3 linked regions of the Callithrix jacchus genome follow. The protein of the gene in region 1 purifies or fractionates together with the protein of each later gene. This does not show direct contact. Links are inferred from orthologs where the notes say so. Each region holds a gene or a part of one and is shown in the gene's direction. Other genes may lie near its edges.

Region 1 (3,746 bases):
TGCCCACCCACCTCAGTCCCAGTACTCTTTTCAGTCCTTGGGCCTCAGGTGACACAGCAGCTAGTGGGACATGGGTCCCTACAGGCATGCTCAGCCCAACCCAGCCCCTTCCTTTTCCTTGGCCCCCTGGCCAGCACCTGCATCACACTGGCCTCCACTGGATACCCTTGCAGCTTCGGGCCTTCCTCACAGACACCCTACTGGACCAGCTGCCCAACCTGGCCCACCTGCAGAGTTTCCTGGCCCACCTGGCCCTGGCTGAAACCCAGCCCCCTAAGAAGGACCTGGTGTTGGAACAGGTAGGCACTGGAAAGTTAGCTGCTCAGGACCACTGTCCTACTTTACCAGCTCCTTCCTGCCACTCTCCACTTCTCTCCCCTAGATCCCAGAAATCTGGGAGCGGCTAGAGCGAGAGAACAGAGGCAAGTGGCAGGCAGTTGCCAAGCACCAGCTCCAGCATGTGTTCAGCCCCTCAGAGCAAGACTTGCGGCTGCAGGCACAAAGGTAAGGCCTGTGGAACTGGCAGGGTGGGGTGGGTGGGATGCAGGAGGCATGGATGTGGGCAGGGGTGCTCCCACCTTCCAGGGCCAGTCAGACCTTCCTGATTCTCCCCAAGGTGGGCTGAGACCTACAGGCTGGATGTGCTAGAGGCAGTAGCTCCAGAGCGGCCCCACTGTGCCTACTGCAGTGCAGAGGCTTCCAAGCGCTGCTCACGATGCCAGAATGAGTGGTATTGCCAAAGGTGAGGATATCCTAGGACCTTGGACCCCTAAGCCCTACTCCCACATCCCCCACATGTGCTGAGATCCTGAGTACCCACCTGCCTACAGGAAGTGCCAAGTCAAGCACTGGGAAAAGCATAAAAAGACTTGTGTCCTGGCAGCCCAGGGTGACAGAGCCAAATGAGGGCTGTCCTTGCTGAGGGCTGACCAACCCATGCCAAGGGAATCCACTCAGAACGCACCCCTGAATCTCAAGATCACGGGCCAGCCTCTGCCAGAGCCCCAGTCTCTGTGGTGGAGAGCAAAGCGGGCGGTAAAGGTGCTGACCCATCCCCCTCCTCCCCTCCCCAAGGGAAGGCTTGAGACTTCCTGCTCCACCCTGTGGGCAGGCCAAGTGCTTTGCCTCAGCAAACCGGGGCGGGAGGGCGAGGGCCGGATGCGGGGACCCTCTTCCTCTAGCATGGTAAAGCTGGCCTCCAGAAACACGGGTCCACGTGGTGTTTTGCGGTCGCCGGCGTCGTGGCCGTCGGGGGTTGGGGGTGAGGAGGGGACGAAGGAGGGAAGGAAGGGCAAGGCCGGGGATCTGCGAGAGCGCCCCCCACCCCGACACACGCCCAACCCCGCCTTCGGGCCCCACAGTCCCCCCCACCCAGGTTTCCATTGCGCGGCTCTCAGCTCCTTCCCGCCTCGTCAGCCTAGATCTCGGGGGCGGTGCTAAAGTCAGACCCGCCCTGCGGCCCCGCCCGGCCCGCGCTTCCTAGCGCCCAAAGCCAGCCAAGCCCCGGTCCGACCGGGCCATGTCGGCAGAACCTGAGCTCATTGAGCTGCGGGAGCTGGCACCCACCGGGCGCGCCGGGCAGGGCCGCACTCGGCTGGAGCGTGCCAACGCGCTGCGCATCGCGCGGAGTACTGCGCGTAACCCCGCACGGCAGCTGGTCCCGGGCCGTGGCCACCGCTTCCAGCCCGCGGGGCCCGCCACGCACACGTGGTGCGACCTCTGCGGCGACTTCATCTGGGGCGTCGTGCGCAAGGGCCTGCAGTGCGCGCGTGAGTAGCGGCCCCGCGCGCCTACGAGAGCGGAAGGGGCAGCCAAGGGGCAGCGCCGTCGCCGCGGGTCAAGACGCGGCAGAGGGTCGGCAGGGACAGCTCCCGCAGACTAGGTCCGTTACTTTTGCCCCATCGCTGAAGAGTGTGCGAAAATGGTTTATCCCTTTTCGAAGTCCTCCCGTATCTGGGGCACAGATGGGCAGAGGTGGCTGCTTGTATGTAAAAATGTGCTGATTTCAAGTTTCTTTAAAGTGCCTTGGCCCTTCTTGAGAAAGGATTTGTGCCTACTGTTCTCTGAGGCCATCTTTCCAGGCTTGCCTCTTCCCGAAGATTCACTCACTGTGACTCCCCTCCAGAACCTTTGGGGTGAAGTTACCCACCTATATGGGAGGGAGCCTGGAAAAAGTTAGAGCCTTGGGAGGGCCCCCTGCAAGCAGGAGTTTTGTTGAGTCTTTATTTAGCAAACACCCATTTCTGACCCAGTGAATCAGATGCTAAAATATGGAATACAGTTACACACCCAGCAGTCCTTCTGCACCCCTGGGAATCACCAGCAAGGCAAAAGTTGCTCTCCCATAGCTAGACACCAGCTGGAATCACCAGGGGCACTTTTACAGCCCTCTGACCTTCTATGCTTAGATCCCACCTCAGACCTGTTGAATCAACTGCTGGGAGTGGACCCTAGGCATCAGCAAATTTTAAAAACTCCCCAAATAATTGTAACAGGAACTTGTGGGTGGTTGGTGTCCCAGGTCTGTGTGTTCGTGGAGACCCTCTCATCTGGTACAAGAGAATATCACAAATTCAGCTGGGGGAAGCACAAAGTTGTGAAAGAATACAAAGAATGAACAAGGAGACGGCCACGGTGGCTCACGTCTGTAATCCTAGCACTTTGGGAGGCCGAGGTGGGTGGATCACCTGAGGTCAGGAGTTCAAGATTAGCCTGGCCAACATGGCGAAACCCCATCTCTACTAAAAATACAAAAAATTATCTGGGTGTGGTGGTGGGTGCCTGTAATCCCAGCGACTCAGAAGGCTGAGGCAGGAGAATCGTTTGAAGCCAGGTGGCGGAGGCTGCAGTGAGTTGAGATCGTACCACTACACTCCAGCCTGGCAACAGAGACTCTGTCTCAAAAAAAAAAAAAAAAAGAACAAGGCTGGGATATTGTAGCGTTCTCAAAGAAAAATAAAGTGGCCATGGAGATAAAAAAAAAAAGCAGGACGATTTGGGCGTGTATCAGAAGTAGAGACAAGGGAGGAATCAAAGATAAGTAGGTTTTGTCTCCAGTAACTGGGAGCAATGTGGCCATTTTTGCTGCAGTGAGGAAGCTAGGCAAGGGTAGCAGTGAGGTGGAAGAAAGGGGAATTAAATTTTGACCATGTTCACTTGAAACATCCTTTAGACATCCTAGTGAAGGTACTGGCACAGAGGATCTAATCTAGGTCAGTGTTTCAACTGTGGATCTGAGGCAGGTGGGTGTAGAGAGACCAGGCCAGCTATCAGGACTGAGCCCAGACCACCGTGAGATCTGGAAGTCGAGTCAGAATCTGCAAAGGAGCTGAGCAGGAGCTGCAGGTTGATAGGAGGAAACCCGCGAGAATGTGTCCCCGGGGAGTCAAAGGGAGCAGGCTTCAAATGATGCTGAGGGGGTGAGAATGGAGACTGGGATACTGGATTCCATTTGGCAGTATGCAGATCGCTGAGGACCCTGTCCTGGGCAGTTTCCTGGAGGGAGAGGCAAGCCTGGCTGGAGTGGGTGGAGGAGAGAGTGAAGGCTGATTAGAATCTATAGAGACCAGTGTTTTGGTCTGAGGGGAGTAGAGACGGATGACAACCAGAGGGAGGACATAGGTTAAAGACGTTTGGTTTTGGCCGGGCATAGTGGCTCACGCCTGTAATCCAAGCACTTTAGAGGCCAAGGTGGGCGGAAAAAGTTTGGTTTTCCCCTCAAGTAAATGGGCAGAAGTGTTACATAG
Region 2 (3,646 bases), on another chromosome or scaffold:
CTTTGTGATTTGACTGAGGGTTTTGGTTGCAGTCTGATATGTCCTGATTAGTTAGAGAAAGCCTGGTCTTTCTGAACCTTCCTTTGCCCAAGTTTGGCATCCAGCCTTGTCTAAGGAAAGAAATATCACTTTTCAGAATACTGTGCTAAGGAGAGAGAATACAGTGTTTCATCAGTTTTTACGAATGAGATTGAGGTGCTGAGGGCCTTGGAAATTATATGGGGTTAAGATCAAAACTATTTACTAGGTAGAATGTTAGGGCATAATATCCAGCTGTGGACAAAATTGCTATCAAACGAGACCCTAAAGTGGATTACTCAGATCACTTAGCAATGTTTTGCCAAATTCAGAAGTTTTCTTTTGACTGTTAAAATCTACTTCTTAGATCACTTATCAAATAAAAAAGCACATTAGCAACTTCTTTAGGAGGGACATTACATCTAGTGCCTTCTTGGCAAACGCCTTCAGGCTTCCTAACGGTGGTTGTCCACAAGGGAAACCGTCCCATTCTTCATTTTTCCTATTGAGATGGTAAACAACCTTGTTATGTTTTCTCACATTGCTAGTATAAATGCCCTTGACAGATTACCAGGAAGATGGAAATGCTGTCATCTCTTTGCATGTCCCAGAGCACCTGCTTGTGATTTAATAGGGAAGGTATGATAGAAAAGGGAAGGTGTGCTGGATGTATGGTCTCTTCACCTTGCTATGACCTTGCTTTGTCTTTGTGTATTTATCCAAGGACCAGGAACCACCAAGACGACCAAGTCCTCCGCGGTGCCTCCGGGCCTCCCTGTGTATTTGGACCTGTGCTACATTCCTAACCACAGCAATAGTAAGAACGTTGATGTGGAATTTTTCAAGAGAGTGCGGTCGTCCTACTACGTGGTGAGTGGGAATGACCCTGCTGCTGAGGAGCCCAGCCGGGCTGTCCTGGACGCCTTGTTGGAAGGAAAGGCCCAGTGGGGCAGCAACATGCAGGTGAGAGCCCCTCAACAGTGTCTGCACCACAGATCGAGCTGTGTCCAGAGGCAATGGGACAGAATCATGTTTAAAGAGGCACCTCATGTAGATGGTTGTGGATCCACAGGATGTGTCTCCTGTGTCTGCCACACATGAAATATCCTGAGAACAAAGTCAGTTTAACACACAGTAGGTAGTCTGAAATAATATTTTTGGCACCACCACCAACCATAGCTTTGGAGGAAAGCCACCTTAACTAAAGCAGAAATTGTTTATTCGCAAAATGGGCCCAAGATTAATTGTCCCTCCAGTGTGCCGAAAGTATTGTGTGTGTGAATCAAAGCAGTCATATTTCCATATGAGAGCTGCTGAGGAATTGCCTTTCTTCCTTTGTGTTTTATGAGTAGACTGCAGCGAGGAATATAGCCATTTGGAAAACAAGCTGTCCATGTGAAATTCCACAGTAGGAGCATTGCTGAATAGAGTCCCTTACTTACAGGACACTCCCAACTCCCAGACATCGTGCCTGACCACAGACCATTCCTTATTCATTTAGAAACAAGGTCTCCCTATTTTGCCTGGACTGGTCTCGAACTCCTGGGCTTAAATGATTCTTAGAACTAGCCATTATTAATTCAGCTGTGATCTTTGCTTATTAAGTTTTATTTGTGGTTCTGTACAGAATTACCTAGTAAACTGTGCTTGATATTGTACAGAATTACTTGTTATTTAATCACATGAAATCTAATGAGAGGCACCCACCCAGTGGCTTCTTACTGAATACTAGATGGAATTTATACTATTCAGGACATTACCTACCCACCCCATATCTCTATCCCCAACCACATACATAAAGTAAAGGTTCAGATCTGTTCTCAGGACAAAATGTTACACACAATGAGTGGGCTTTTGAGGGCTTTAAAGTGCTTGATAAAACTCTTTGGATGAAATATGCAGTACCTTTTATTCAAAACTTACCAGTTGTGTTAAAGGAAATACAAGAAATTGTACCCTAACAGAAGCAGTTTTCTGAACGGTAAAGAACTGAGAAACTGACAGTGGATCTAGGTGAACTAATTGACAAGTGATTAGTTGCTTTTGGTTCTAGGCTTCAACTTCCCTTAGAAACAATAGCTTTTCTTTGCAGCTTTATCTGGCTCCTGGAAAATATATGTTGAAAAGTCCTTTGCATTTCTTGAGGAAAATAGAAAACTTTTCTCTCATTTCCCTTCTTCTTCCAGTGATCTAATACCTTGCTATTCCATTTTTTTCATACGGTTTCTGTTTCTGCCCTTAAATAGCTATTTTATTCTCTACCCACAGGTGACACTGATACCAACTCATGACTCAGAAGTGATGAGGGAATGGTACCAGGAGACCCATGAGAAACAGCAAGACCTCAACATCATGGTTTTAGCAAGCAGCAGCACAGTGGTTATGCAAGATGAATCCTTCCCTGCATGCAAGATTGAACTGTAAAAACCAAGGCCAGCCACACCACAGGATCTGAACTTTGTTTCCAGAAATTCTTCAATTTGAAATCACCTTTTCTAAAAAGTCAATTCATCTAGTTAAGTCGCTGAACAATTACCTGCCAAATGCTATACTGTGTCATGGTGATGCAAGTCACTAAATTTCTCAGTTTTTGCTGATTGCTAAGGGAAGTAACAGTATTCCCACAATAGGGTTCAAGTTCCTGCGAAATTACCTACCCCAGTTCATCTCTGCTGAACATTTGGAAACCATGCACTAGCCAACCCAACTGACTTCTGCTAGGTAGAGGCATTTGTCTTAGAGAGAGAGAGAGCGCGGGAGAGAGTGAGAGAGAGTGAGAGCACAAAGAGAACGCAGGAGAGAGAGAGAATGAGAAAGAAAAGGAATGCAAGAGAAGGAGATGTAATGACAGAGAGTTCTGGTGAGATACCCAGAGAGAAAAAGAGAGAGCAGGGTGGGGTAAGGAGGAGAAAATAACCAACTATTAGGTCTGCATTTTCTCAGGCAGTAGGCATTCTTCAGTCTACATAGGCAAAGTTTTCTGTTTTTTGTCAGTCTGAGTCATCAAAGAGTCTTAATTTTCTAAAACAAGTTGTCTAGAAGAAAGTAAAAAGAACAAAATTTGTTATGAGGGCATGTGATATTTTCACATCTGAATTAGGCTCCTTCAGTTTGAAGCCTGCACACTGACATAATGTAGTGAGTATAGACCGGCCATGCAAGTGGTTTGGGCCCCATTCAGAACTCTCAGACTCTAAACACACAAGTAGATTTATCTAAGGCATGCTCCCAGCATTTGTCCACCCACGTAGTCCACTCTGAGTCGATTCACCTGCATGCAGCAACACCCAAGTCCACCCCAATTAACTGAAGCAAATACCAAAGCAGTTGGGAGTACATACGGTAGACAATTTGCCTTAGGAAGTGACTTGAATGTACAAAGATACTTGATGCACTTATTTTTTAATGTGAGACAGCAAGTTTATAAAACATCCATATAGGATTATAGATACGTAAAGGAGCACGTGGGTGAGCGTGTGTGGGGGTCTAGAAGCTGATCTGATTGGTCCAACAGTTTGATGCTGAGTCATGCATGTTGAATCCCACTTCCGTGCACCTGTGGCCTCTCAGTCAAACAGGTTGTGCCTTTCACAGCTTCTTTACTACTGCAAGTTCAAGACTGAAATGG
Region 3 (3,746 bases), on another chromosome or scaffold:
AACCTGGTGACTTCCTCCAAATCTGTTTCCTCTCCTTTCCTCTGAAAGTGACCACAGTAACTGTTCCTACCTCATTGTTTTGTGCTTGTATGCAATGAGCTAATACAGTAAAATGCCTGGCACGCAGGTGGTGCAGAATAAGTGTTGCCCTGTTCCATGCAGGCCCGGGGTTCCCCCTGTTGTATCCCAAACACACATGTACTCTCGTGCCTCGAAAACTTTCCACGTGCTGTAACCTCTGCCTCACGTGCTCTTGCCCCACCACTCATGTAAGGCAAACTCCTACACATCGCTCAAAGCTCTACCTATAAATAGATTTCTCTTCTCTGTTCAAGCCCTGACCTAGGGAGCTGGGAGCATCCAGGGGCGCCAGGTTCTGACTGGGCCTACTGTTAAGTGATGTGAGTTCGTGGAGGGCAGGAATTCTGACCTACATGCAACAGACAGGCGATCAAAGCTTGTTCAATGAAAAAAAAAGAATGAATGGTCCTTGGGAGAAGCAGCTCCCAAACAGACACCCAGGAGTCCGCCAACCCCTTTAGCACCCGCATTCCCTGCTCTCCATGACCTGAAAGGGCCAGTAGGTGGTCGACAAAAAGGGGCGGGGGTTGGGGTGGTTCCGGGCGGGGTCTTCAGTTCTTCCGGTGCAGCCCCTTTAAGAGGCGGGGCCAGCGGGGCGGGCGCTGAGAACGTCGGGGCGGTGCGAAGATGGCGGCTGTGCCTGGGCTCGGGGATGCCGCGGCCCCGAGTTCGCTGCTCCTCGTGGTGGGCAGCGAGTTCGGGTGCCCGGGGCTCCTCACCTACGTCTTAGAGGAGCTCGAACGAGGTCGGGCTGGCCCGGGGGCGCGCGACAGCCCGGGAGGCGGGCACGCTTCGCGCCTGGCCCCGGGGCCGGGTGGTGGGCGGCGGCTGCGGCGGCGGGGCCCAGGCTCTGGGGCGGGGATCGCGGGCCCGGGGCTGGGTCCCCTTCACCGTTAGGCACGTGACGCAGGCAAAGGCGGGGTGCCTGTGGGTACCCGCGGGGGAAGTGGCATCGGGGCCTGGGCTGGGCAGGGCTGCCCCGCCCCAACTCCGGGTGAAAATCGGGGAGGGGTCACGGGTCACGGGCCTAGGCGTGGGGACCCGCGCAGTTGGGCCATTGCTCCGCTTCCCGCCTGGCTGGCCCGCCCAGGGGGCGGGCTTGGGGACGCTTTGGGTCTTAGGTTTTAGCAGCTTAGAGAGCTAACGAAGGGAGAAGCAGATTTGGGGGAGGCTGGCCTGGAGCCCCGGGGCCCGCTTTCTGTTGCAGCACAAGGAGCTGCTAATTGGGGTGTGGGTGGGTGCGGCTTGCCCGGGGGATTTAGCACTTAGGGAGGTGAGTCATAGGTGCACCTGCCCGGTTCACCTGCAGCCACTTGGCACACTGGGACTGGCACAGTGGGACTTGCGGGCATGATGCGCCCGTGGGTGGAGATGGGTGTTCATCCCCCATTCCTTGGAGAATCTGGACCTGCGTGTTTCATTGATTGTAAAATGTGACAGGAACGCGCACCTCGCTTCATGTGCTTGGGGAGTGTTTAGTGAGCACCTGCTATGCGCCAGGCAGTGGGCACAGGGACATGGCTGGGATGATAGACAGATTCAGCCCTGCCAGCACAGGTTTGGTGGGGGGGATGGATCCAAAGCAAATGAGGAGATAGAACAAGCTTCCAGCTCACATGGTGTCAGGAGGGATCAGAAGTCTGCAAGGGGCTGAGGGGACAGCCAGTCTTAGCACCTGAAGGTGATAAGGGGGAAGGGCCCCTGGGCCAGTAGGAACAGGTGGGGGTGGCAGGGGGATGGGCTTCCAGGCAGAAGGAACAGCTGTTGCAAAGGCGGTGAGTGGAAACGGGCCTGGCAGGGCATAGGAGCAGCAAGGAGGTGGAGATGGAGGAGGTGGAGGCTTGGTTGCTGAGTCTTATCTGTAAAATGATGAGGTGTGCTCTGGGTCTCCTGGCTCAGCTGCATCGAGACCTGAAGGTGTTGGGTACTTCTGAGTCTCCAAGCTGTGAGTGAAGGGAGGAGGCTGGGGCGCTCCCTACCCACAGGGTGCTAGTTATTGAAATATTCTGGGGGCTGGGAAGCCTGGCTGAACTCCTGCCTCGATGCCTCCCTCCCACCAGGCATCCGGTCTTGGGATGTGGATCCAGGCATCTGCAACCTTGATGAACAGCTCAAGGTCTTTGTGTCCCGACACTCTGCCACCTTCTCCAGCATCGTGAAAGGTGAGGCTGGGGTGCCCCTGGCTGCTCCCCTATCTCTTATTCCCTGGACAAGTGCCAGCTGTCTGCCAGGCATGGGGGGTGGGGTATAGCTGTAAATAACAACACTAATAATATAACTGAGGCCTTTCAAATGCATGCCCTGACCCAGGGATAATCCCCTCAGTCCTCAGTAACCCACAGTGCAGGAACTGGTGTTTTCATCCCTGACTTACAGATGAGGAAACTGTGGCATGGAAGGGGGAAGAGGTGGGGAGGTCCCTGAGGAGGGGGTTTTTCGATGAGAAACTGCTATGACTGGTGTGTCCAGTGGAAGGGAAGTGCCCCATCCAAGACCCAGCAGTGGACAGAACATGAGAAGAGACCGAGTCCGTGGCTCACGCTTATGATCCCAGCACTTTGGGAGGCCGAGGCTGGCCGATTACTTGAGGTCAGGAGTTCAAGACCAGCCTGGCCAATATGGAGGAGCCTTGTCTCTCCTAGAAATACAAAAATTAACTGCCATGGTAGCAGGTACCTGTAATCCCAGCTATTCAGGAGGCTGAGGTGGGAGGATCACTTGAACCTGGTAGGAGGCAGAGGTTGCAGTGAGCTGAGATCTCAACACTGCACTCCAGCCTGAGTGACAGAGTGGGAGGGAATCTGTCTCAAAAAAGAAAAAAAAAAAACATCTGGAAGGTGGAGGGGGCACTGAGCAGGCCCTGGGAGATGGAGTGTGGGCCCCTTGGAGGCAGGGACTGAATTTGGTTTACAGCCACAGGGCTGGGTATACAGTAGGCGCTCAGTAGGTAGGGAACTGAAAAGGAGTGAGATCAAGGAGGGCCCACCTCAGCACGAGGCTCCCCTCTGGGGTGACCCAGGATGGGGGCACAGGGCTTGGGTGTTGTCTGAACAGCCCTGCGCTCCTGCTGGTCTCAAGTCACCTCTCGGCTGCTGCTGGAGAGGAAGGAAATGTCCGTCGTCTCATTGTCCCAGTGGGTCCTCGGGGCTTCCTGACTCTTCATGGGGCAGAAAGTGGGGCTAGAAATCCTGTCTGCTGTGTGCAACCTTTGTGGCCACTTCCCCTTCCTATGCCTTCCCCACCTGAATGGGGCAATATCTGCGTGCGACAAAAAGCATGCCAAGTCTGGGTGGGGTGGCTCTCGCCTGTAATCTCATCCCTTTGGGAGGTAAAGGTGGGAGGATCGTTTGAGGTCAGGAGTTCAAAACCAGCTGGGGCAACATGGTGTAACCCTGTTTCTATTGAAAATATAAAAATGAGCCGGGCCTGGTGGTGCACATCTGTAGTCCCAGCTACTCAGGAGGCTGAGGAGGGAGGATCTCTTGAACCCAGGAGCTAGAGGCTGCAGTGAGCTAGGACTGCGCCACTGCACTTCAGTCTGGGCAACAGAGCAAAATCCTGTCTCAAAAAAAAAAATAAAGCTAAACATGATAAGAGCTGACTGCACGGGACAGTCTGCTTCTCAAGACTCAGCCATGCTCACAGCCCGGTCCTGGGCCTCAGGG

Evidence for each region.
Region 2: the proteins of RASSF1 (region 1) and MAP1B purify together in Homo sapiens (affinity purification with mass spectrometry; 3 studies listed by BioGRID and IntAct, counting the BioPlex papers as one, with this or other methods). This does not show direct contact. The link is inferred for Callithrix jacchus from reciprocal best matches to the Homo sapiens genes RASSF1 and MAP1B.
Region 3: the proteins of RASSF1 (region 1) and MAP1S purify together in Homo sapiens (affinity purification with mass spectrometry; 4 studies listed by BioGRID and IntAct, counting the BioPlex papers as one, with this or other methods). This does not show direct contact. The link is inferred for Callithrix jacchus from reciprocal best matches to the Homo sapiens genes RASSF1 and MAP1S.

What each region holds. Positions count from the first base shown.
Region 1 is NC_133516.1:32,913,241-32,916,986, reverse strand, and holds the start of RASSF1 (ras association domain-containing protein 1), read left to right. Parts: upstream 1-1,494; 5' UTR 1,495-1,519; coding exon 1,520-1,769; exon of another isoform or gene 1,770-1,882; intron 1,883-3,746. Other genes in the region: ZMYND10 (zinc finger MYND domain-containing protein 10), read left to right, coding at 174-299, 383-504, 617-742, 831-906. UniProt on the Homo sapiens protein: Potential tumor suppressor. Required for death receptor-dependent apoptosis. Mediates activation of STK3/MST2 and STK4/MST1 during Fas-induced apoptosis by preventing their dephosphorylation.
Region 2 is NC_133503.1:138,952,378-138,956,023, reverse strand, and holds part of MAP1B (microtubule-associated protein 1B), read left to right. Parts: intron 1-742; coding exon 743-981; intron 982-2,286; coding exon 2,287-2,442; 3' UTR 2,443-3,646. UniProt on the Homo sapiens protein: Facilitates tyrosination of alpha-tubulin in neuronal microtubules. Phosphorylated MAP1B is required for proper microtubule dynamics and plays a role in the cytoskeletal changes that accompany neuronal differentiation and neurite extension.
Region 3 is NC_133523.1:16,443,994-16,447,739, forward strand, and holds the start of MAP1S (microtubule-associated protein 1S), read left to right. Parts: upstream 1-1,500; 5' UTR 1,501-1,905; coding exon 1,906-2,026; intron 2,027-2,141; coding exon 2,142-2,243; intron 2,244-3,746. UniProt on the Homo sapiens protein: Microtubule-associated protein that mediates aggregation of mitochondria resulting in cell death and genomic destruction (MAGD). Plays a role in anchoring the microtubule organizing center to the centrosomes. Binds to DNA. Plays a role in apoptosis.